3 linked regions of the Callithrix jacchus genome follow. The protein of the gene in region 3 purifies or fractionates together with the protein of the main gene of each other region. This does not show direct contact. Links are inferred from orthologs where the notes say so. Each region holds a gene or a part of one and is shown on either strand. Other genes may lie near its edges.

Region 1 (6,936 bases), on a different chromosome or scaffold from region 3:
ATATTCAAGAAATATTTACTGAGTACCTGTTATGTGCCAAGAACTGCTCTAGAAGCTGGGAAGAAAAACAGATATCTTCACCCTTGGGGAGCCTGCTAGTATATGGGCTTGCTATAGTGTTTTCCCTAAATGTAATACAACCATCTTTGTTAATATGACTTAAAAATTCTAATTTCCCCTTTGGAAATTAAATGGCCATACATCTACAAATTCTTTTTAAATATACTTAAGTAAGCTGCACTCTCGAAGAAAGTTTATACCTCTTTAACAGAGTTAGTAAAGTGCTTCATATACAATCTGTATATATCAAGGTACTCCATTTTTACTGAATGTTTCCACAGGCCATACTTTTTAGGAAATGCCACCTAATTTATAGGTATAAAATATATACCATTTAATAAAGGTAAGTTTTATTTATTATATCACCTTAGTGATTCTAAATCAAATATGAAACATTTATTTCACAGAAAGTAATCTGTAATAGTAAAATGATAATAATATAGGTAGAACTTTCTTTTTATTTTTGAGACGGAATTTTGCTCTTGTTGCCCAGGCTGGAGTGCAATGGCACAATCTCAGCTCGCTGCAACCTCTGCCTCCCGGGTTCAAGCGATTCTCCTGCCTCAGCTTCCTGAGTAGCTGGAATTACGCACATGTGCCACCACACCTGGCTAATTTTGTGCATGTTTTTTAGTAGAGATGAGGTATGTCCATGTTGGTCAGGGTGGTCTCAAACTTCCAACCTCTGGTGATCTGCCCATCTCGGCCTCCCAAAGGACTGAGATTACAGACATGGGCCACTGCGCCTGGCCGATGCATAGAACTTTTTAACCTCTCTTATATTTACCCCTACAAAAGCAGGTTGAAAGGAAAAGAACATACCGTATTTTTAAGTCAGAGATTCGAGTCCTGGTTCTGTTAACTCTGTATCCCTAAATGAGTTATTTAACTAGTTGCAGCCTGTTTCCCTATCCTTATGCAACAGAATAAAAGCCTAGCTTTTGTGTAGTGGGCATCAGGAATGTTAGTTCCCTTCTCCCTCCTTGGGGCCTATAACTGGTGTATTAGAAGGTTTATCAGGATTTTTTTTTTCTTTGAGACAGGGTCTCACTGCAAGTCCAGGTTGGAGTGCAGTGCGAACATAACTTACTGCTACCTCAAACTCCTGGGCTCAAGAGATCCTCCCACCTCAGTCTCCTGAGTAGCTGGGACTACAGGTGCACACCACCATGCGTGCTAATTCTTTAATTTTTTGGTGGAGACAAGCTATCACTATGTTGCCCAACTGGTCTCAATTCCAACTCCTGGCCTCAAGTGATCCTCCTGCCTTGGCCTCTCAAAGTGCTCAGATTGATTACAGGTGTGAGCCACTGTGCCAAGCCTATCAGGAAACCTTTCTAAGCTGTGATTTGTCTTTGGAATGGTTTTCCTCTCCTTCATCTGAGTTAACATTCAGCCCAAATGCCATCTTCTTTGAAGCCTTCCCATACATCTGCAGGAAAAAGCTCCCTTGAATCTCCCATTAAAGTCTGGATATGTGCTTAAGAGTTTATTTCCGTACGTTACAATCTCATTTTTTTTTTGCCTCTCCCAGTAGACTGTGAGCGCCTCATGCACAGAGACCATATCTCATATCTCACTTACCTTGATAGCCCCAGCCCTTGGAAAAACACCTGGCACAATACAAACGTGGAACAAAAAGTCTGCTGAATGAATAAATGAAGTCATCCCTTAAGTAGTACTTGTAATTACTACCAGGTGGACCCAAACTTTATGGTTTTGCCCTTTACAGGCTGAGATCCTATTTCATACTTTTTCAGATCACTCCCTGATAGCATCTGGCAGAGTACTAAGGACAGGAAAAGTCCCCAGTAAATACTTTTGGGTGATGGGATATATATTACTCTTCCACTTCTCTTGATTTGACTCTAAATTACTTATTCTAGTGGATGTGACTTTTGAAAGCCTTCTTAAAAAGGGGCCCTTCTTTTTTTTTTTTTGAGACACAGTTTCACTCTTGTTACCCAGGCTGGAGTGCAATGGCGCAATCTCGGCTCACTGCAACCTCCACCTCCTGGGTTCAGGCAATTCTCCTGCCTCAGCCTCCCATGTAGCTGGGATTACAGGCACGCACCACCATGCCCAGCTAATTTTTTGTATTTTTAGGAGAGACGGGGGTTTCACCATGTTGACCAGGATGGTCTCGATCTCTTGACCTCGTGATCCACCCTCCTCAGCCTCCCAAAGTGCTGGGATTACAGGCGTGAGCCACCGCGCCCAGCCCAAAAAGGGGCCCTTCTTAACAGTTATTGGCCAAAAACTGAAACACCAGAGCTAAACTACAGATATTTTTTTCTTTGCAGGTGTTTTTAAATAATGCAGTAATGGATTGCTTCTTTCTAAACCATTCAGTAAGAAACAGTAACATAAAGAAACAGTAACATTCGCTATGAAATATGCAAACGACATCAGGCAAAACTTAGTTTAATAACTTCCAGCCAAAGGTTCCCCACCCTGCAGTCATGGGGCTGTGGGCCAGCTGGCTGTACCACCTCACCCCCGGGAGATGACTGCTTTTCAACAGTAAAACTGCGTAAGTGACATTTGGAGTTTTGGGAGGGGTCTTCTGAAGTAAAACCTGTAAGTTTAACTTCTTATTAACAATAAGTCTTATGTTACAAGCTTTGGCTTCATGTAGAAAAGACCCTGTAAAGATCTCAAAAACTTGGAACTCGGGGACATTCCAGACGTCTTATGAGTTTAAAACCATACAAAAATATATGCAGGGGGTAATTCCATTATTACATTTAAGTGATGTATTCCACATTCCTGTATATACACACACTTCATGCCAAATAGAGGCTGGCAAGCAGTTAACCGTTCAACTGCCCTTTCGTTATGCTGCATAACGGAGACGAGAGAGAAATCTTGACAAAGCCAAGCTGGGCTAGTGCTTAATGTACACTGGGGCAAACCAGTCATTCTCAACATCCCAAAAGCAAACATTTCTTGTACCCTTACTAGCGCCAAGCACTGTGTCCAACGTTTCACGTGAATTATTTCATTTCACACTTACAACAAACAGCCATATGCGATTGGTGGTATTAACGTTCTCATTTTTCAGACGAGGACACCAAGGCACAAGATTACACAGCTAGCAAGTAAGTGGCAGGTTTGGGAGTCGACTTAAAAGGTCCAGCCCTGGGCACTATGGAGTATCAAAGGTACCCGAGGCGGGGAGGGTGGGCTGCAACCAGCGTCCTGGCAGACAGACGCTTTCTTAGAGGGTAAAGTTCTTGACCATCAAGTTTCAGATCTGCAGAGCCCTGTACACCTGGCTGCGATTAGGTTGCTACAGCTGAGCCTCCCTGCCTGGGAATCCCCAAGAATGCACTTGGATCCTGAAGGTTTGTACGAGATCCCAGAGAAAAGGCCGACACCTCATCGCTGCAATCAAAACACACCCGGGGAGCTGCGAGGGCCAGGACTTTCGTGCTTCCCGCCCAGAGCACCGCGGCCCCGCCAGGCGGTGCACAGGTGCACTGCCCCGCCCGCCCGCCTAGGTCCCGGTCCCGGTCCCGGCCCCTGCCCCGGCCCCGGCCCCGACACAGTGACCGCGGTTCAGCGACTCGCGTCCCGAGAGCAGGGGCAGAAGGCCGGCGGGAAGAGGGCCGGGGGCGCGAGGGCCGCCCCGCCCGACCCCCGGGGGGCGCTCGCAGAGGGGTCGCGGGGAGAAAGGATGCTCCGGGCGGGGCGGGGCCGCGGTGGGGGAGGGGTCCCCAGCCTGGACTCTCACTCACCGCCTCTCGCTGTTCCTGGCCGGGCTCCGCGGCTCGCCCCACTCCGGCTCTAGCCGTCCGCGTCTCCTCCAGAGGCTCAACGTCCATCCAGGGCGCACGGAGCTAAGAAGTCGCCGACAGCGGAAGGCGAGTGGCCAGCAGCAACCGAGAAGGTGGTGAGGATGGGACCGTCGCTCTAGCTGCCGCGGCCACCACAGACGCTGCTACCGCCGGCTCCTCGCAGCCGCGGAAGCTGCGGGCCCGCCCACCACGCCCGCCTCCCGCCCTGAAGACCGCCCACTAGAGAAGTGACGGCGGTGCTAGCCAATCATAGGCCTGATCGGGGTCGTGATCGGCGGACTATGGGGCGGGCAGAGAAGGAAGCGGCACGAAGAAGGCGAGGACGGCGGCGTGACTTCCTGTGACTGACTGCACGTCGCAGCCAATGGGCAGCGGGAAGATGACCTCATCGCTGAGGAAAGTCTGGAACTGGCTGAGCTGCGAAGAAGAGGTCGGCGACGAGCCGGGGGCGGAGCGCTGGGCCTTAAAGAGGCCGCAGCCCACTGGTCACCCTGTGAAGGAAAGGGCGGTGGACCCTGCCGGACCTTGCCAAGTTGCCAAGGGATCAATGCTCAGCCGCGAGTAATTACTCCATTAATCCCAGACCCCATCCTGATTCTTCTCCGGGGCTGAAGGGTCTCCGCTTGGGACTCCGAAGTCGATCATTTCACATTCACGCTTCCAAAACGAGACACAATAAATTCCTCTCTGGCCTGGAGCCCTGAATTCCTGTTACAGTCCCGCCCCGCCGAGGTCCGTCACCTTGTTTCTCTGAGTCAATTTCCCCAACGGTGAAAGGGAAGACGCTGACACCTGCCTGCCCCTCCCTACCTGCCAAGACCGTGGTGATCAGCAGCAGCGAAAGTGCTCTGGGCTTGGAAGAGGAAAAGGGCTGCGTGAGCCCAAGAGCTTGCATCGGAAGACTCCAAGAGAGCATTTGCAAAAGGAGGATTCCACGGGATGAACCCCGACGACTCTTGGAATTCTAAAATCCTATACCCTTGCCGCACCCATTCGTGTAGTGAAGGGGCGCGCCTTAGGCGCAGAGGCCACACACTCAGCAAGTGAACCCGGACACCTCTCTAAACCTATTCTGGGCTGGGGGCGGGGGGCGGGGAGCAGGGTGGCTGCCCGATTTAAAAACTGTATTTGTGAATATATATCTATTTTTTTAAATGTGTGAAGTCCATGACTGCAACAGGGAGAAAGGATAGAGGCAAAAGGGGAGAGAGAAACAAAGTAATCCAGGCCCATTGCGACGAAAGCCGCGGTCAGGCAGGCCGTTCATGTCCCTCTTCCTCCCCAGCAATGGGAGAGAGCCCAGAAAAGGAGAAATAACTCCAACTCGGTGGGGTGGAAAAGAGGGGGGAAGCGCTTTCCGGAAGGCGTCCGGGGATAGGGTCACCAGACAGAGTCAGAGGAAGGAATAACAGTAGGTAGAGGAAGAAGGGGTCAGGAGCATTCTTCTAGGTTTGGGGCGGACCCGTGAATAGACACAAAGACTGAAAAGGAGCCGCTCACTTTACATTCCAGGGTATATCCTCACTATGACCCTCTTTTCCCCCTCAAAGGCTTCTGGGACTGCCCATTGGTGAACTCTCAGAGGGAGGGCGGGAGAGGGTGCCGCTCTCTCCAACAGCTGCGGAAGTCAAAGTGGCCTTGGAATATTCCCAATTACTCACTATAAGTCAGTTTCCGGTTCAGTACCAAAGCCCCGGTGGCAGAATCTTGGAGCTAGACGGATCCTCGTGGGTCCTTAGTCACACACACCTTCCCCCAAGGCAGAAATTCTTGCACAAAATACCTGATAAAATTATTTATTCGACAAATATTTTTTGAGTAAGAACACTGAGGGCGTATAAGATACAGTCACTACCCTGGGGGTGCTCACACCAAACTGGGGGATGCTAAGGCATGTACTTCGGTGACTGCAGTGCCAGGCGGATATCGCAGGTGACTAATGGTGCAGAAGTGTGCCTCGGAGGAGAAATTACCCCCGTTGGAATTATTGGGGTGGGGCACATTTCCCCAAAACATGACCAGGGTGGGGCTGGGGCATTCCAGATAGTACCCACCCAGACACAGCCCTCCTGAAAAAGTCCAGGTGAGGAGGCACAAGTGTATTTTATTAGTGACAGGAAGTGAGTTCTGCCCATTCATGGCAGAGACTATAGACAAGCTCACCCTCTCACAAATACCTCTGCTGTTTTTCTGGACAACTTAAGTTGTACATGTTTTATATACTCTATATAGACACACATATACTTTGTGTACATATAAAGGGTTAGGCTGGGTGTGGTGGCTCACACCTGTAATCCCAGCACTTTGGGAGGCTAAGTCCAGAGGATTACTTGAGGTCAGGAGTTTGAGACCAGCCTGGCCAACATGGTAAAACCCCGTGGCTACTAAAAGTACAAAAATTAGCCGGGTGTGGTGGCGCATGCCTGTAATTCCAGCTAGTCAAGAAGCCGAGGCATGAGAATCGCTTGCACTTGGGAGATGGAGGTTGCAGTGAGCCAAGATCCCACCACTGCACGCCAGCCAGGGCAGCAGAGAGGGTGAGACTCCATTTAAAAAAAAAAGGCGGGGGGGTTATATATATTTCTGTTTATATATATTTCTTATGGGCTGTCTGCCTCCCTCTAATCTCTGACTCCGCTCCAGCCTAGGTAACAGAGTAAGACTCGGACTCTAAAAGAAAAAGTAATAAAATCATCATTGCCCCTAGATCCTAATGGTATCCTCTAATGCTTCACAGAACATGTCTAATCCCACTTCACTTCCTTTCCCACACCCGCTACCCATCTCCACAAAGCAATAGGGATGAAGACCCTTTTTCTTGCCATCAGTCCTCAATGATGGTTTTCATATGCCTTATTATCCTAATGACTTCAAGTGGCTATCCTTCAGGATCTATTGGGGACATGTGTTATTTGTGTCATTCCCAGCAAACACTCTCTTTTTTTGGTAAGGGAACCTCACTTTCCTCTGGGGAACTGTCAGAGGTGTTCAAACAAGAACGACTCCACCTTAAATAGGGGCTGGGTAAAATAAGGTTGAGACCCCCTGGGCTGCATTCCCAGGGGTCAGCCATTAT
Region 2 (6,977 bases), on a different chromosome or scaffold from region 3:
GCAACCAATTACAGACACCAGAGGCTTGCTCCTGGGTGCTCTTGGAGTAGAAGAACAGTGTGGGGGGTCCTGCTACCTGAGTTCAGCCACAGCCTCATGAGCACCTGCGTTGCCTGTTCCCTGCCTTCTTTTAACCATAGCTCCAACTTCTGGAGCCACCGGCCTGCCCGTTGAGCTTATTTTCCTCCTTGCCAGATGACCAGAGAGCAGAGGTGAAGCTCCCACGTTCTTCCTCACTCATAAGCTGGGGTTCACTCTCATGGTATCCCCTTCCCATTTGGAGTCTTCTGCTTTCATGCCTAAATACAAGTTTTGCATTTTGGGGAGTGCTTGGGGACCTGGAGAATCTCAAGAGCTTGATAGGATATTGGATGGGGCCACAGGGAGTGTTGATCAAAAACCACTCAGATTGTAGGTGGTGTTGCCAAAAGAATACAGAGGGCCCAGTGAAATTTGGATTTCAGAGAAAAGTATGTCCCGAGTGCCGCTATATAGTCAAAAGGGAGTAATAATTATTGCTTGGAAATTCACATTGGACTGGGCATTTTGTATTTTTATTTGCTAAGCCAGACAAGGTTATATTTGTGGGAGTGGGGTTAAGGTCATGGCAGTTGCCAGACTTTCCCTCTGTTTAAGATGGGGAAGTGGGAAAAAGAGAGAGAGGAGCCAAAGAAACGCAATGGTTCTTTAGAAGCAACATCCCTTCATGGACCTCTCTTTCCACTTGTTCTTTCATGTCTGAGGGCTGTGTGTGTCTGTGGGTGGCACACATACGTATGTCCCCCGGTGTTTTGTAGAACACGAGGAGTGATACTGGGGAGAACTGTTGATAGTGACACTGATTAGATATTGAATAAACAACATGAGAAGACTAAAAACTGTACAAATGCGGTTAGTTTAAAATCAACACAAATCACTGCATGTAAACTGCCTCTCCTTCACGTGCAATTGCCACAAGGCGCAATCACAGTTATGTTTGTTCCAGCCAATCTCTACATGTTTCCAGAGAACCATAGAATGTTACCAAAGAGGTCTAAGAAATTGCCTAATACAACCCCGACGTTTACTGATGAAATAACTGAGAATGAGAACGAGCAAGTTACCAACTGCGGGTCCCACTGTACATCAGTATTAATAATAGAAAAATGTTTTGTAAGAGCTTTCTAAGGGCTGGGCATTTTAGAAGTTCTCTACTTCACATTTTATTCACACAATGACCCTATAATCATCCTGATTTTCAGGGGAAGCAAGTTGAGGCACGGAGAATTATGTAATTTACCTAACGTTTAAGGTCATGCAGCTAATGAGTAGAGATTACTATTAAAAACCCAGCGAGTCTGGCCCTGAGACCCATGCTTTTCAAATGAGTTTGTATCACCAAACATGTTCATACAGGTAAACTTTCAGAGTTTACTGCTGCTGTAGCATGATTTTGTCCTTAATCAAGAGGTCACTCAACTACAGCTTATAGAAAGTTGATCGGACATGGCTGACATCAATGATTTCAGAGTAAAAGCAGTTATCTGCTCACTTATAAACAACCCTGTCACAGTGAGTCTGTTGCTGTAATCAGAGAACAATTTCATTGCATTTATTTAATGGAATACATAATACCATGATCTACTATCAAAGCAAATATTCGCAGTGAGATCGAATCAGTTTTATGAGTTTACATTTGAATTGCTTATGAAAGATGAGGAGGAGAAGATGATGAAGGAGAAGGGAAAATAGTGAAAGAGAGCGAGAAATCAAAATAAAGTCGAGGCACTTATTCATTGTTAGCCACAAAATAAACGGCGTTCTCTTAAAGAGAGACCCTACTGTCAGCACGCTGTCACCTCAATGCTGGCCCAGCCAGAGTAGTAATTACATCCGGAAAGAATAACTACCATTGAAACATTACGTTTCTAAGTCTTACATTCCACTTGTTTTTTCTCCTGTCTGTCAAGAGACGATCAACGCTTGCATCTCAGACTCCAGATTCCCTGTTTATCAGTGATGGGAGGATAAAAGACGCCTGCTTCTGCTTTGATATCATGTTTTCCCAAATCCACCCTTCCTTTTGACACAAAAGCCTGCATAACTTTCTTAAAAAGTGAGGCTGGAATTCTCTGAAGCTCCAGGATCAGGGTTTTCAGGGTCTATTTAGGAGACACCAGGACTCCCCAAATCCACTGAAATGGAAGTTGGGAGTGGTGCAAACGTTGCCTTTCCTCTCCACTGCACTTCAGCTGAAGGAGGGATCGATAGGTGTTTTGCAAGTCTACTATCAAGTACATCACCAAATCCTTTTAGAGACAAACCAGCACGCCCAGACCCTCTACATTTCAACTGGCAAGGAAGCATTTGAAGTGAATGCAGCTTCATACAAAACGAATCTACATCCTCTCTTCTTCAGAAAGGTGGCAGTGTTGCCTTGCAGTTTCGACCAAATACAAAGCAGCGGCGCGGTCCCTAGCTAATTAACAGATCAACCGCCTCACCTCACCACGGAAAGGCAGGACGTAATCCACTACCGACCCCGGTGGCTGGTAGACTCATCCCAGAGCGTCAGGGGCAGCGAGGCTTGTGACCGCCTAAGCTCCTGAGTTTTCAACTTGCGTCAACGGTGAAGATCCTAAGAAAATCTCCAGTTGACCCCACAGGCATCTACAAACCAAGGGCATCTAAGAAAGTCACAGATGAACCTTACCTCCTAGCAGCTACATTTTTCCTTTTTGAAACATCCATCCCACGTGAAACAATTGCGTTGGCCCCATGTAAAGGGCTACGAAAGCTTAGCAAACCATGCCTGTATCTTTCTGACACCTGTTATGTCAATATTCGCATCAGAGTTCTCCTAAAAGTAACCAATCTAAGTAGACGTTCTACATTATTGTGTTGTTAACCAGTTTTCTAAAACCAACATTATACACAGAGTTACCGAAAAATAACTTCAGAAGTCAAGTGTTGATTTGTCTAAACGTGGAGACCCACACGGACACCTTCCATGGGCACGTGCACAAACCCTTCTTGAGAAGCAGCTAGAGCTCCCGTCTCTCCCTTCCACTCACCTCCACTCAGCGTCCTTTGAGAAGTTTCTCCATGTGCCACTAACACAGAAATTTCGGGGAAATTCTCCATTTATAAATATCAGATGGTTTGGGAAAAAATATTTGTGGCACTGGGCTTTCTTTTTTTTTTTCTACAGTGATGTCATTTTAAATACTTGGTGTGCTCCAAATTTGCTATTTTTACTTCCTCCAAGTGACTTTTTTTGGGAAATACTTTGTTTGGATTAGCTACATTTTAAATGACCCTGTACCTAACACACAAACATCAGGTTCATCTTCTCAGCGATCATAACTGATACTACGCAGCGTCCAAGCTTGAAATCCCTTATTCGTTCGTCTCCAAAGTTGCCCCTTCTCAATGTACCCCTCCAAGATTTCTATTCACAGATACAGAGAAAATAAAATAGAAGGATTGACCTTTTCACAGAAGAACAACCACACTCTACTACCCAAAAGCACTTACAACGGAAGACACAAAAGGCCCCCAAAAAGTCAAATAAAATTCTTTGCTTCCACAATGTGCTTTTGGGGAACAGAGTTGAGGTAGACCTGGCAGGCTTGGAAACATTTATTGGAAAGCAGTTCTAGAGTTGAGAATGGCAGAAAAGGAAAGTTCAAGAAGGAATGCTAAATGCCCTACCTGATCTGAACTTGCTCCTAATCAGCAAGGAATGCTCAGACCCCAGAAGTGTCATGTTGAGGCTCAGCAAGCCGCGGGTCCCTTTGCCAGGCGCCCCCTGTTCTCCACCAGCAACAGGCTCCCGGGAGCCCAGCTGACCGCAGCTAACAACCCAGAATTCATCCAACTCGCCGTGAGCTCCCCTGGGTAGGAGTACAGTGGCAGCCAGTGTCCCCAGAAAACTGGCGCCTCCCCCCCTCGCCGTGCGGGGCTAATTAACTCTTAGCCGGCGGGACCCTCCTCCTCCTCGGAGGTTGGCTGGGGGCAGCGGCATCCCAGGCGATCCTGGCTGATGTCATAGGCTGCCGGCGATTGCGGAGAATCGCCACCACGCCTTTATGAAGGTCCCAACTTTGCCACCCGATACTCTTTACTACTGACAGGCGCTCAGCCAATCAGCAGCGGCGAGCGGGGCCCGGGGGACCCGGAGCCGCCGGAGCAGTCTCGGGAGCCGGCTCTTAACTCTTTGCAGCGGGCCCCGCGGCCTCCGGGGCGCAGAGGGCGGGAGCAGGGCCGGGGGTCGGGAATCCGCGAGAGGGGCCAGAGCTAAGGAACCGAGGCCCGGAGGAAAGTCAGAGGGGCTGCCACGCCGCGGGGCCTGCAGGTGGTGCGCGGGGCTGCGGCGGCGCGGGGAGCTCTGCGGGCCTGGGCATGGGCGTGCGCAGCCGGGGCTTCCCCGCCAGGGCTTCTGCCTGCCGGAGGGACGCGGTCGGGATCTCCCTCCAGCCGGCGGCAAAGGGCGTGAGCGCCCGCGGGACGGTTTGGAAATCAGCTGGACCCCTGAGAAGAAACGCCTCCGAAGGACCGAAGCCCACACCTTCCCCTCGGTTTGAGGGGCTCAGTGCACAGGCAGGGACGATTCTGTGTCTCGCAGCTCCAATACCGGACTTGGATGCATTTCCACGGGGAAAATGGAAAAGCTTGCATTTTTCTAGGATATGCTTTTTTGGGGGTAGGCTGGGGGATGTGACTCGGTGCATCTGGAGATCCAGCGGCGACTCAATGCTCCCACCTCCAAACCCGAGGGAATGGGGAAAGATACCTGAGTCTGAGTCAAAACCCTACTGGACTGTGAATAGGGAGGGGCTCTGGAGCAGAGGGCAAGCCAGAGCTCTGGTTGGGGTTAGCCTGGAAAGGCGCAAAAACTGCCTGCAAATGAGTCTTTCCATAGGCGAAAGTTAATTCCGTAACCGATCCAGAGTTATTGGAGCATCTTGCCGAGGTGTTCTAGGCACATGGATCAATGAAATAATACAAAGACCCAGCTCTCGAGAAGCTGGTTTAATAGTTGGTGGCTCAGAACATTAAAAAAAAACACACTCTATATACGTATATAATTAGGGTTGATTTGCAACCTCATGTGCACGTGGGTTCCCGGGTGTCGACTGTTACACACAAGCCTGCCTATGTCTTTACTACCAGTCCTTAAAAGATCACTCGGTTACCGATGGAGACCCGAGGTGACAATATAGCTCATGGGACAACCTCTAATGCCCTGAGTCCCGGCCTCTGCCCCATCCGTTGTTGCTGGAAACATATTACGGGGTTAGCCCTTGAGCTCAATCTCTGGATCTGAGCTGGTCTTTTTTGTAAATAAGGTCTTCAGGAATAGACACCTTCTTCCTGATGGGTCAGAGAAGAGGAAGAACAATCCGTCCATGTTGCCTTTGGGAATCTAGTTCTGGCCTGAACGCCAGTCTACAGGCTGATTTGGTGTGCGGGAGCATCTCAGCAGTTATGTAACATCATTTTCCCATTCCTGCTATAACCAATTACTGTGGATTGAGTGGCTTAAAACAGCACAGATTTATTATCTTGCTGTTCTGGAGGTCAGAAGTGCGTCTCAGTGGGTCAAAATCAAGATGTCAGCAGGGCTGCTTTTATTTCTGGAGGCTCTAGGGGGAAATCTACTTCCTTGCCTTTTCTAGCTTCTAGAGGCTGCCTGAGTTCTTGGCTCATGGCCCCTTCCTCCATTTTCAAAGCAAGCAATCCTGGGTCAGGTTCTTATTGCATCTTATCGCTTTAATGCTCCCTTCCCCACCTCCTGCTTCCCTCTTCTAAGGTAACCTTACTGCAAAAATAAACTCTAGGCCGGGCATGGTGGCTCACACTTGTAATCCCAGCACTTAGGGAGGCTGAAGGGGGTGGATCACCCGAGGTAGGGAGTTAGAGACCAGCCTGACCAACATGAAGAAACCCCATCTCCACTAAAAATACAAAATTAGCCAGGCATGGTGGCACATGCCTGTAGTTCCAACTACTCCGGAGGCTGAGGCAGGAAAATTGCTTGAACTGGGGAGGTTGTGGTGAGCCGAGATTGTGCCATTGCACTCCAACCTGGGCAACAAGAGCAAAACTCTCTCTCAATAAATAAATAAATGAATAAATAAGCTCTGTCATAAAGTCAGTTTATCATCCTTCCTACTGCGTGGATTCCCTTTGCTATGTAATGTAACCTAGTCACAGATTCCTGGGATTAGAACATGAACTTGCGAAGAGAGGGCATGATTCCTCCTGTCCCACAGAGACCTTTCTTTCTCTTCTGTCTCTCCTAATCTTCAGTCAAGCCCCAGCCCCCTGGTCTTCAAGGAAAATAAGGAAAGTGGAGGGAGGTTTGGGAATGTGTGCACACAGGAGTCTGGAAGGGCTCCAACTGGCTTTGAGATGTGTGTGGCAGGGAGGGACTCTGCAGGGAAGAGATTGGTGGGATAAAGAATATTGCAAAATTATCTGAGTAAACTATTTTGAGCAACATTAAAAAAAGAAAAAAGAAAAAGCCAAACAGATTTTTATCCCGAAGTTTGGGGCTGAGAAGAGATACATGGCAACTTGGCGGAGAATTATTTTTTCAGTGAAAGTTGGGATGAAATTAGCTGAAGCCAGCACCGAATGTAGGGTCTGCATGACCTAGATGAGTTGGCCAGGAATAAGTTGTTTTCTCTCTGCAGGCCTGGGAGTGTGTGTGTGTGTGGGGAGGAGGGTGGGGGCGGGGAAGCATAGTTTCTTTTTCTCAGTGAGTTTGGGAAATGCCGATAACCACGGTCCTCCTCAATTTTCCCATCACACTGTGGAACTACTGACATGTCCTGAGATTTATACCCCCATGACTTGGAATATCTATGGTTATAAATATGCTCATACAAAAGCTCATCCTCTCTCCTCTCTAGTAGAGCACTTTTTGTGAAAACATATTTTTTTGAGAGGGAGAGGATGTTCCCAAGGAGAACAGAACTCCGAAGCTGCTC
Region 3 (6,942 bases):
CTTGAGGGTCTGGCAATGATGCACATCCAAGATGTAAACTACCAAAAGAATGTACGCATCTAACAAATTTCCTGGGAATGAGACCTACTGTTACAAAAGTTTAAAAATTATTACAGATGATATGCTACTAAGAGAGGGAGAAGCCTACAGCACTGACTCTCCCCTCAGGGGGCCTTCGTTCTTAGAAGGGGAAGGAGGAAACTGAGAACCAAACCACCAAGCCCAGACCCGAACTGAGTCAACCAGAGGCTCAAAGGCTGGGGGTGGTTCGGCACGAGTCCTTTGCTAAGCAGCTGGGCCCAGGACTCTTGATTGGCAGAGGCGTTGCTAAGGCAAACAGTGCCGCTTCCTACCATTGGCCAGTTAGTTAAGCGCTACCCGGAAGGTGGAGCTCCCCAGACAGCAAGGGAGGAAGCCCCACCCCCTCTCCTTACCGGGAAAAGGAAGGGGGAGGCGTAACAGCCCCGGCATCCCTAGCAGCAGGCGAAAGCGCTCCCTAACTGCCCAGGCCCCCAACATCCTAAAGAGGCAGGCGGCAGGCTTGTAAGGTAGTCTCCGACCTAGTCAATCAGCCTGCCTGCCGAGAGTGCTGAGTTCCCAGGACCCCGGGAGCAGAGTGCTCGCTTTCTACTCCCAGGCGACCCAGCCTGGAGGGCTGGGCTAAACTACACCCCCGCCCCTAGTGGGGAGACAGCTGGCGGGAGGAATGCAATGGCCCTGCCAGGCAGGCGGGCTGCGGGCGGGAGGCCGGCGTGGAGCCCGAGCGGGCCTTATATGGGCACGGAGGCCGCCCGCTTATCTAGGGGGCCGGGCTCTGTCAGGAAAGCGAGGATGGACACCTGTCCCTTAGGACGAGGGTCGCTAATCCGGCTCCACTCTACATCCGTAGGCACCTATCCACCTGTCCTGGGCCAGAGAGGGAGAGGAACCCTCTTCCCTTCCCTCCTCTCACACAGGCAACCCAAACACACCTTGGTCTCCCCACTGCTGTCAGATTCCGACACCTGGTAGGTGAGATCTGTCTCTTCAAAGCCAGTGGCACTCATTCTCTGGTCTGTTGTGGGGTCTGAGCGGGGTGGAGAGTCTGGCGAGTTGAGGCAGGTCTGAATCAGTGCCTTGCCGGTTTCACTGGTGATCATGGGTTGCAGTTTGCGGGTGGCAAAGGTATACACATGGCCTGTCTCACTGGCCACCAGCAACAGCACCTGTGTCCCTGTCAGCGTGGACAGCTCATAGGCCTGAGGGGTGAGGAGGGAGACAGGCAGGTCAGCAAATTTTTAATCTCTACCTTCCTTGGGAAGTTGGAAAAAGAAGAATTATACAGTGATCCCCGTTCCCCCATTCCCATAATGACCTTCATCTCTAGTGACTCTGGGGGCAGAGTGTCCTATCAGGATCTCTGGAAGCAGCAAAACTACCCATGCTCCTCCTTTGAGGAGTAGCCCCACTGACCCGTAGATACCCCAAGCAAACAGTAATAGCTGGCCGGTGGTGGAACATACAACCTCAGGGGATACGAACGAAGGACCCAGCTAGCTGCTCTCCAACACAGCTTAGAGTCTGGAATGTCCCAGAGCCTCACCCCTCCTCACTGTCACAGGGACCAGGATGGATCCCTACCTACCACAGTGGAATTTGCACAAGACAGTGATAAGGGACCACTCAAGCTCCAACTGTTCCATGTTTCTTTCCAGAAACTGTACAGGCTCCAACTTGTTGACAGCCTAATTTCTCCTTTTGTCCTGTAATACTTTACTGCCCTTTTTTCTTTGTCTTGGGAAGAAGGTTATGAAAGGAGAGAAGAGAGTTTTCCTTCATTAATTACCTCCCCCCACAACCCTCTCCACTGATGATCAAGTGATAAGGGACACTGATACAACAGTGTCCTGAGTGATGGGAGATGAGACCTAGATTAGTACTGAACATCCTGCCATGAGCCCAGGAAGAGGACCTTAAAGGATGGCCCCATGGATGCCATACCCTCCCAACGAAGTTCTACGAACCACCTTGGAAGCAGCTCTGGTTTCTACATGGGACAGAAATAAACACCAGCCAGTGTTCCCAAGGATCCAGCTCCTTGTTTCCCAATTCCTCTGCTTTCATCCCTTCCCTTACCTTCTACACCCCAAAATTACTCCTTTCCTCACCACTTTCACTGGCTGGCAGATGAGAAATTCCTAGGTACCTCTGCAAGCCTCCCTGACTTCCCCCAAACCCCATCCATGCATAGATTCTCCATAGGGCTGGAAACCCCACTTGTCCTAACTGCAGGAAATTCTGCAGCTGGTCCTGCCAGGAGCATGCGGTTCCCAGTGGATGCCATGAAAGACTCACGACCGGCGCGGGACTAGGTCCCTGCTGCTCAGGGCAGCACCAGTTCTCCTGCCCGGCTCCCTTACCTGGTTCCTAACCCTGCCTGTCCTTCGAACAAGCACTACTCTTGTGGTGCCCGCTTCCTCCCACACATGCTCGCTCATTGTTGTCATGCAGCTCCAGCCTCCTCACCTCCATACCTTCTCGTCCGCTCCCTGCTTTTCCGGCGCCCTCCTCCGAACACCAGAGTGCACAGGACCTACTGATCCCGCTTCTCTTTATCCACCTCCTTGGCAGCCTGGCAGCCTCGAAGCCTCTCATGACCACTCCTCACCCCTTCACTCAGCAAGAGCCCTCTTCCCCTCGCGCGCCGGTCACTCCCACCTCGGCGCCTTTCCCCACGGTTCCGGGTGTTCGCGGGATCTCCCCTCTCCCCACATTTCCCAGGCGGCCCCTCCCCTTCGGCCCTCCCCGGGCAGGAGCCATCCCCTCCCACATACCTCCAGAGGACTCGCCGCCTCTCACCTCCGCCTCGGCTCAGCCTTCCTCCCGGGCTCCCCCTGTGCATCCCCACCCCTCCCGGCCTCCCGGGCCCGCCAGCCCGCCGGCTTGGTACCTTCTTCATGATGCCCGTCTTCCTCTTGCTGAAGGTCGTGTAGCGCCGCAGCTTGTTGTCGATGAACTCCATCTTGATCTTCACGCGGCCCCGGGTCTTCTTACCCGGCTTGGCCCCGCTCACCGCGCCGCTCACCGGCCCGTAGCCTCCGGTGGCCGCCGCCGACGCCTCGGGCCCACCGACCACCATGCCGATCTCCATCTCGCTCAGGCTCCGCTTCAGGCCGCGCCGCTCAGCGCCCAGCTCCTCCTCCTCGCCCGACTCCGAATCGCCCTCGCTGCCGCTGTAGAGGGCCCCCGCGGTGGGCGCCGGGGTGGTTGCCGCCGCTGCCGCAGCCTCCCGCTCCAGGCGGCCGGGCCCGAGCCCCGCGCCGTTCCCGGGGACTCGGCCCCCGTTAGCACCGCGAGTCCCGCCGCCGCCGCCGCCCGGCCGCCCCGTCGGGGTCCGATTCAGGCTGCCCCCCAGGGCCGAGCCCCGGCCCAGAGTCGCCGCGGCCCCAGCTTGGCTCGGTAACATGGCGCTCGATGCAGGAGGGCGGACGGGCAGTCAGCGAGGAATCGGAGACGCCGCCGCCGCCGCCATCGGCTTCCCGGCTCAACCCGGCACTCCCGCTGCTGCTGGTGCCGCTATCGCTGCCGCGGCAGCTGCTGCGAACCCGGGGCCCCTGCACGCCCGGGCCGACCTGGGCCCTCACTTTCCTGCCCCTGTGGCCCGGGCTGCCCCAGGCCGCGCGCAGCGCCCCCTGTCCGTCTGCTAGGGCGGCGCGCCCGGCGGCCGTCAGCGTCCCCCGGGGGGCAGGGGCTGCTGGCCGCGGCCGAGACAGCGGGTGGAGGGGGCCGGGACCACGCGCTGGCGGCGGAGGGATCCCCCGACCCTTCCCCCCATATAAAGAGATACAATGTTTCCTTTTATGGCGAGGCCGCTCCTTATATGGTGAGCCCCAGCGCCCCCGCCCCATTGGTCCGCGGTTCCGGCACCTCCGCTCCCCATTGGCCCACGGGTTCGCTTATTTGCATAGACATACCGAACTCGTTGCTGTCATCCCGCGTCAGACCGCGACTCCAAGAAGGGAGGAGCCGACGCCTCTTAAAGGAACCGGAGAGCAGGCACGACTCCGCCTCCCTGAACCCGAGAATGGTAGCATGGTTTGGGAGGCACCGGCGGAGAAGCAGCCTGGGAGAGGACTGGAGCGCAGTCTTGCGGAGGAGAGGGAGCAGCACTAGGAAATGGGCATCGGGACGCTGGAGGCAAACACTGGGGAAACCCCTGGGTGGATTGTGGGGTTTGCAGTAAAATTTAAAATGCAGCTCAGATTCCAAGGGAGGAGTGTAGGGATCGATTGGAGCACTTCCTCACACCCTCCTGAGGAAGGCACAGTTATTGGCGGAGCGGAGGGGGCTTGGGTCCCCGGTGTCCAGACTTGTCGCGCCCCGGCCCCTCCGCTCTAACTTTTCCCCTCCCCCCCGACTTCCCTTCCTTTTCCCTCGCTTTTGTAGGCGACGACACTTTCCCACCAAGCTGGCTCGCGAATCCTCATTCATCATCCTCTGCACGGTGGGGTCTTTGGCAGACATACATCTGGAAAAGGCGGGTGGAGGGGAGGGCGAGAGACAGATCGGCCTCCCACTCCCCGAGGCGGGCAGGGAGAAGAGACGGAGATCAGTGAAGACTTCCAGCTGCAGGCTGGGCTGGGGGGAGGGGGGCGTCCCGAGGATAAAGCCCACCCTACCGCCAGTGCAAAGACCGGGGAAAGTGTAGCCTGACAGAAAGTTTAAGCAAGAAAGCACGCTCGCGCACACACACGCACATGCACACCCTTCTCTGGAAAGCCCGTTGGAGGAAAAATAAATTTTCTTCTTCAGACATGGTATCGCTCTGTCGCCCAACCTGGAGTGCAGTGGCGCGATCTTGGCTCATGACAACCTCCGCCTCCTGGGTTCAAGCGACTCTCACGTAGCTGGGACTACAGGCGCATGCCACCACAGTGGCCTAATTTTTGTATTTTTTTGTAGAGATGGGTTTTTGCCTTGTTGCCCAGACTGATCTCGAACCCCTGGCCTCAAGCGATCCTTCCCCCTCCGCTTCCCAAACTCTTAGGATTATAGGCTTGAACCACCGTGCCCCGCAGAAAAAAAATTTAAAGATTAGAACTGGGGTGCTGCAAAGCCAGGTTCAAAGTCTGGGTCTGGATGTTTTTGCCAAAGCAGTGAAAATAGCTTGGACTTTGCTGTTAGAGAATTATTTAAATCTGGAATCTGCCTCTTGGTAGCCCTGTGCCTGGAAACAAGTGATCTGATATTTCCAAACTCCATATTCATCAATGTTGCTATCCATTCCATGAGATTTTTGTTGTTGTTGTTGTTGAGACAGAGTCTTGCTCTGTCGCCTAGGCTGGAGTGCTGGCACAATCTCGGCTCACTGCAACCTCCGCCTCCCAGGTTCAATCGATTCTCCTGCTGCCTCAGCCTCCCAAATAACTGGGATTACAGGTGCCCGCCATCACACCCAGCTAATTATTTTGTATTTTTAGTAGAGATGGGGCGATGTTGTCCAGGCTGGTCTCAAACCACTGACCTCCTGGTCACCTCAAGTAATCTGCCCGCCTCAGCCTCCCAAAGGGCTGGAATTACAGGTGTGAACCACCATGTCTAGCCTACTCCATGAAATTCTTAATGCAGATTTAATGAGATAAAGGCTAAAGGGCAAAGTAATTGGTCAGTGCTTAGGCAATAGGAATTACCTGGAGTAAGTCATCTCATCCTAGCATCTTCGAATGTTTAAGGGGATAGGAGACTGATTATTCCTGCCGGAAAAATTGGGAGGATTTAATAAAGCAGTTGATTGTAACCTATTCATTACTAGTAGTGGTAGTAACATCAATTCAGTATACTACAATTGACATTTAAAATAATTAGTGGGTATCACAAAAAGCAAAGTCAAATATTGCTGCATAAAACATTTGTTTGCATTATATATAAGTTGAACCCTATAAAATTACCATTTTATAGGTCAAGAAGGTGGGATATTGTCAGTTTCTTATCATTCAGTGTATGTGACAATATCAACTGCATTTCTTACTATAAGTCACGATCCAAAAGCTTTGAGAAATACTGAAATTAAATATGTGCAAGTGATCAGTAAAATATAGTGTATATAATGAATAAAACATAGCATGTATTTTTTGTAAGATAGAGATGAGGTCTCCCTATGTTGCCTAGGCTGGTCTCAAACTTCGGGGCTCAATCTATTCTCTCACCTCAGCTTCCCAAAGTGCTGGGATTGAAGGCCTGAGCCATGGCGCCCAGCCCCCAATAGTTTTAAAGAGGTTGCCCCTCCCCCCACCAATTTACCCTTTACCACAGGTACTTCAACATATGGAACAAGTTAGCCCAAGAGGAAGAACAGGTCAAATAGATAAATAGGTTCCAGAAGGGTTTTAGGGGCCACAAATGATGCTTGGGGTCATGTTTTGTCTAAGCACCAAAATATTACAGCCAAAGCCCTGGGATTTCATTCCCACCTACCCTCTAAAGACTTTTTCATTTGAGCCTCCTAGTTTAGACACATGCAAGGGTGACATCCCTCAGCAGGGACAGACAACTGCTCCCTGCCACATCTATAGGGGAGCTCCTATAGAGCAGTTGTCCGTGAAGAACACAGTCCTTAGCTACCCTCCAAATAGGCTGTCCTCTCTCCAATTTCTCCCAACTCTTGGGTCATTGCAAACCAGTGTTAGTGTCACAGCTTCTTTGTCTTCTTAGGATGGCCCAGCTTCATGTCCTTTGTCACCACAGGGAGTCAGGAGGAGATCTATACCCACACCAAAAGCATTGCTAGGGATAAAGTCAAAATCGAAAACTCTCATAGATGTGTTTTATTTGGACCTTATAACATTTAAAAATCATGAGAGTTTACATAAAAATCTGAATACCTGGCCAGGCGCAGTGGCTCACGTCTATAATCCTATACTTTGGGAGGCTGAGGCGGGTGGATCACTTGAGGTCAGGAATTCA

The links.
Region 1: the proteins of SRF (region 3) and MRTFA purify together in Homo sapiens (affinity purification with western blotting; 4 studies listed by BioGRID and IntAct, with this or other methods). This does not show direct contact. The link is inferred for Callithrix jacchus from reciprocal best matches to the Homo sapiens genes SRF and MRTFA.
Region 2: the proteins of SRF (region 3) and MYOCD purify together in Homo sapiens (affinity purification with western blotting; 3 studies listed by BioGRID and IntAct, with this or other methods). This does not show direct contact. The link is inferred for Callithrix jacchus from reciprocal best matches to the Homo sapiens genes SRF and MYOCD.

What each region holds. Positions count from the first base shown.
Region 1 is NC_133502.1:191,340,315-191,347,250, forward strand, and holds the start of MRTFA (myocardin-related transcription factor A), read right to left. Parts: upstream 4,043-6,936; 5' UTR 3,888-4,042; coding exon 3,801-3,887; intron 1-3,800. UniProt on the Homo sapiens protein: Transcription coactivator that associates with the serum response factor (SRF) transcription factor to control expression of genes regulating the cytoskeleton during development, morphogenesis and cell migration.
Region 2 is NC_133506.1:79,200,618-79,207,594, reverse strand, and holds the start of MYOCD (myocardin), read right to left. Parts: upstream 4,043-6,977; 5' UTR 3,749-4,042; coding exon 3,694-3,748; intron 3,100-3,693; exon of another isoform or gene 3,054-3,099; intron 1-3,053. UniProt on the Homo sapiens protein: Smooth muscle cells (SM) and cardiac muscle cells-specific transcriptional factor which uses the canonical single or multiple CArG boxes DNA sequence. Acts as a cofactor of serum response factor (SRF) with the potential to modulate SRF-target genes.
Region 3 is NC_133505.1:51,641,919-51,648,860, reverse strand, and holds the start of SRF (serum response factor), read right to left. Parts: upstream 3,835-6,942; 5' UTR 3,446-3,834; coding exon 2,930-3,445; intron 2,726-2,929; exon of another isoform or gene 2,514-2,725; intron 1,239-2,513; coding exon 972-1,238; intron 1-971. UniProt on the Homo sapiens protein: SRF is a transcription factor that binds to the serum response element (SRE), a short sequence of dyad symmetry located 300 bp to the 5' of the site of transcription initiation of some genes (such as FOS).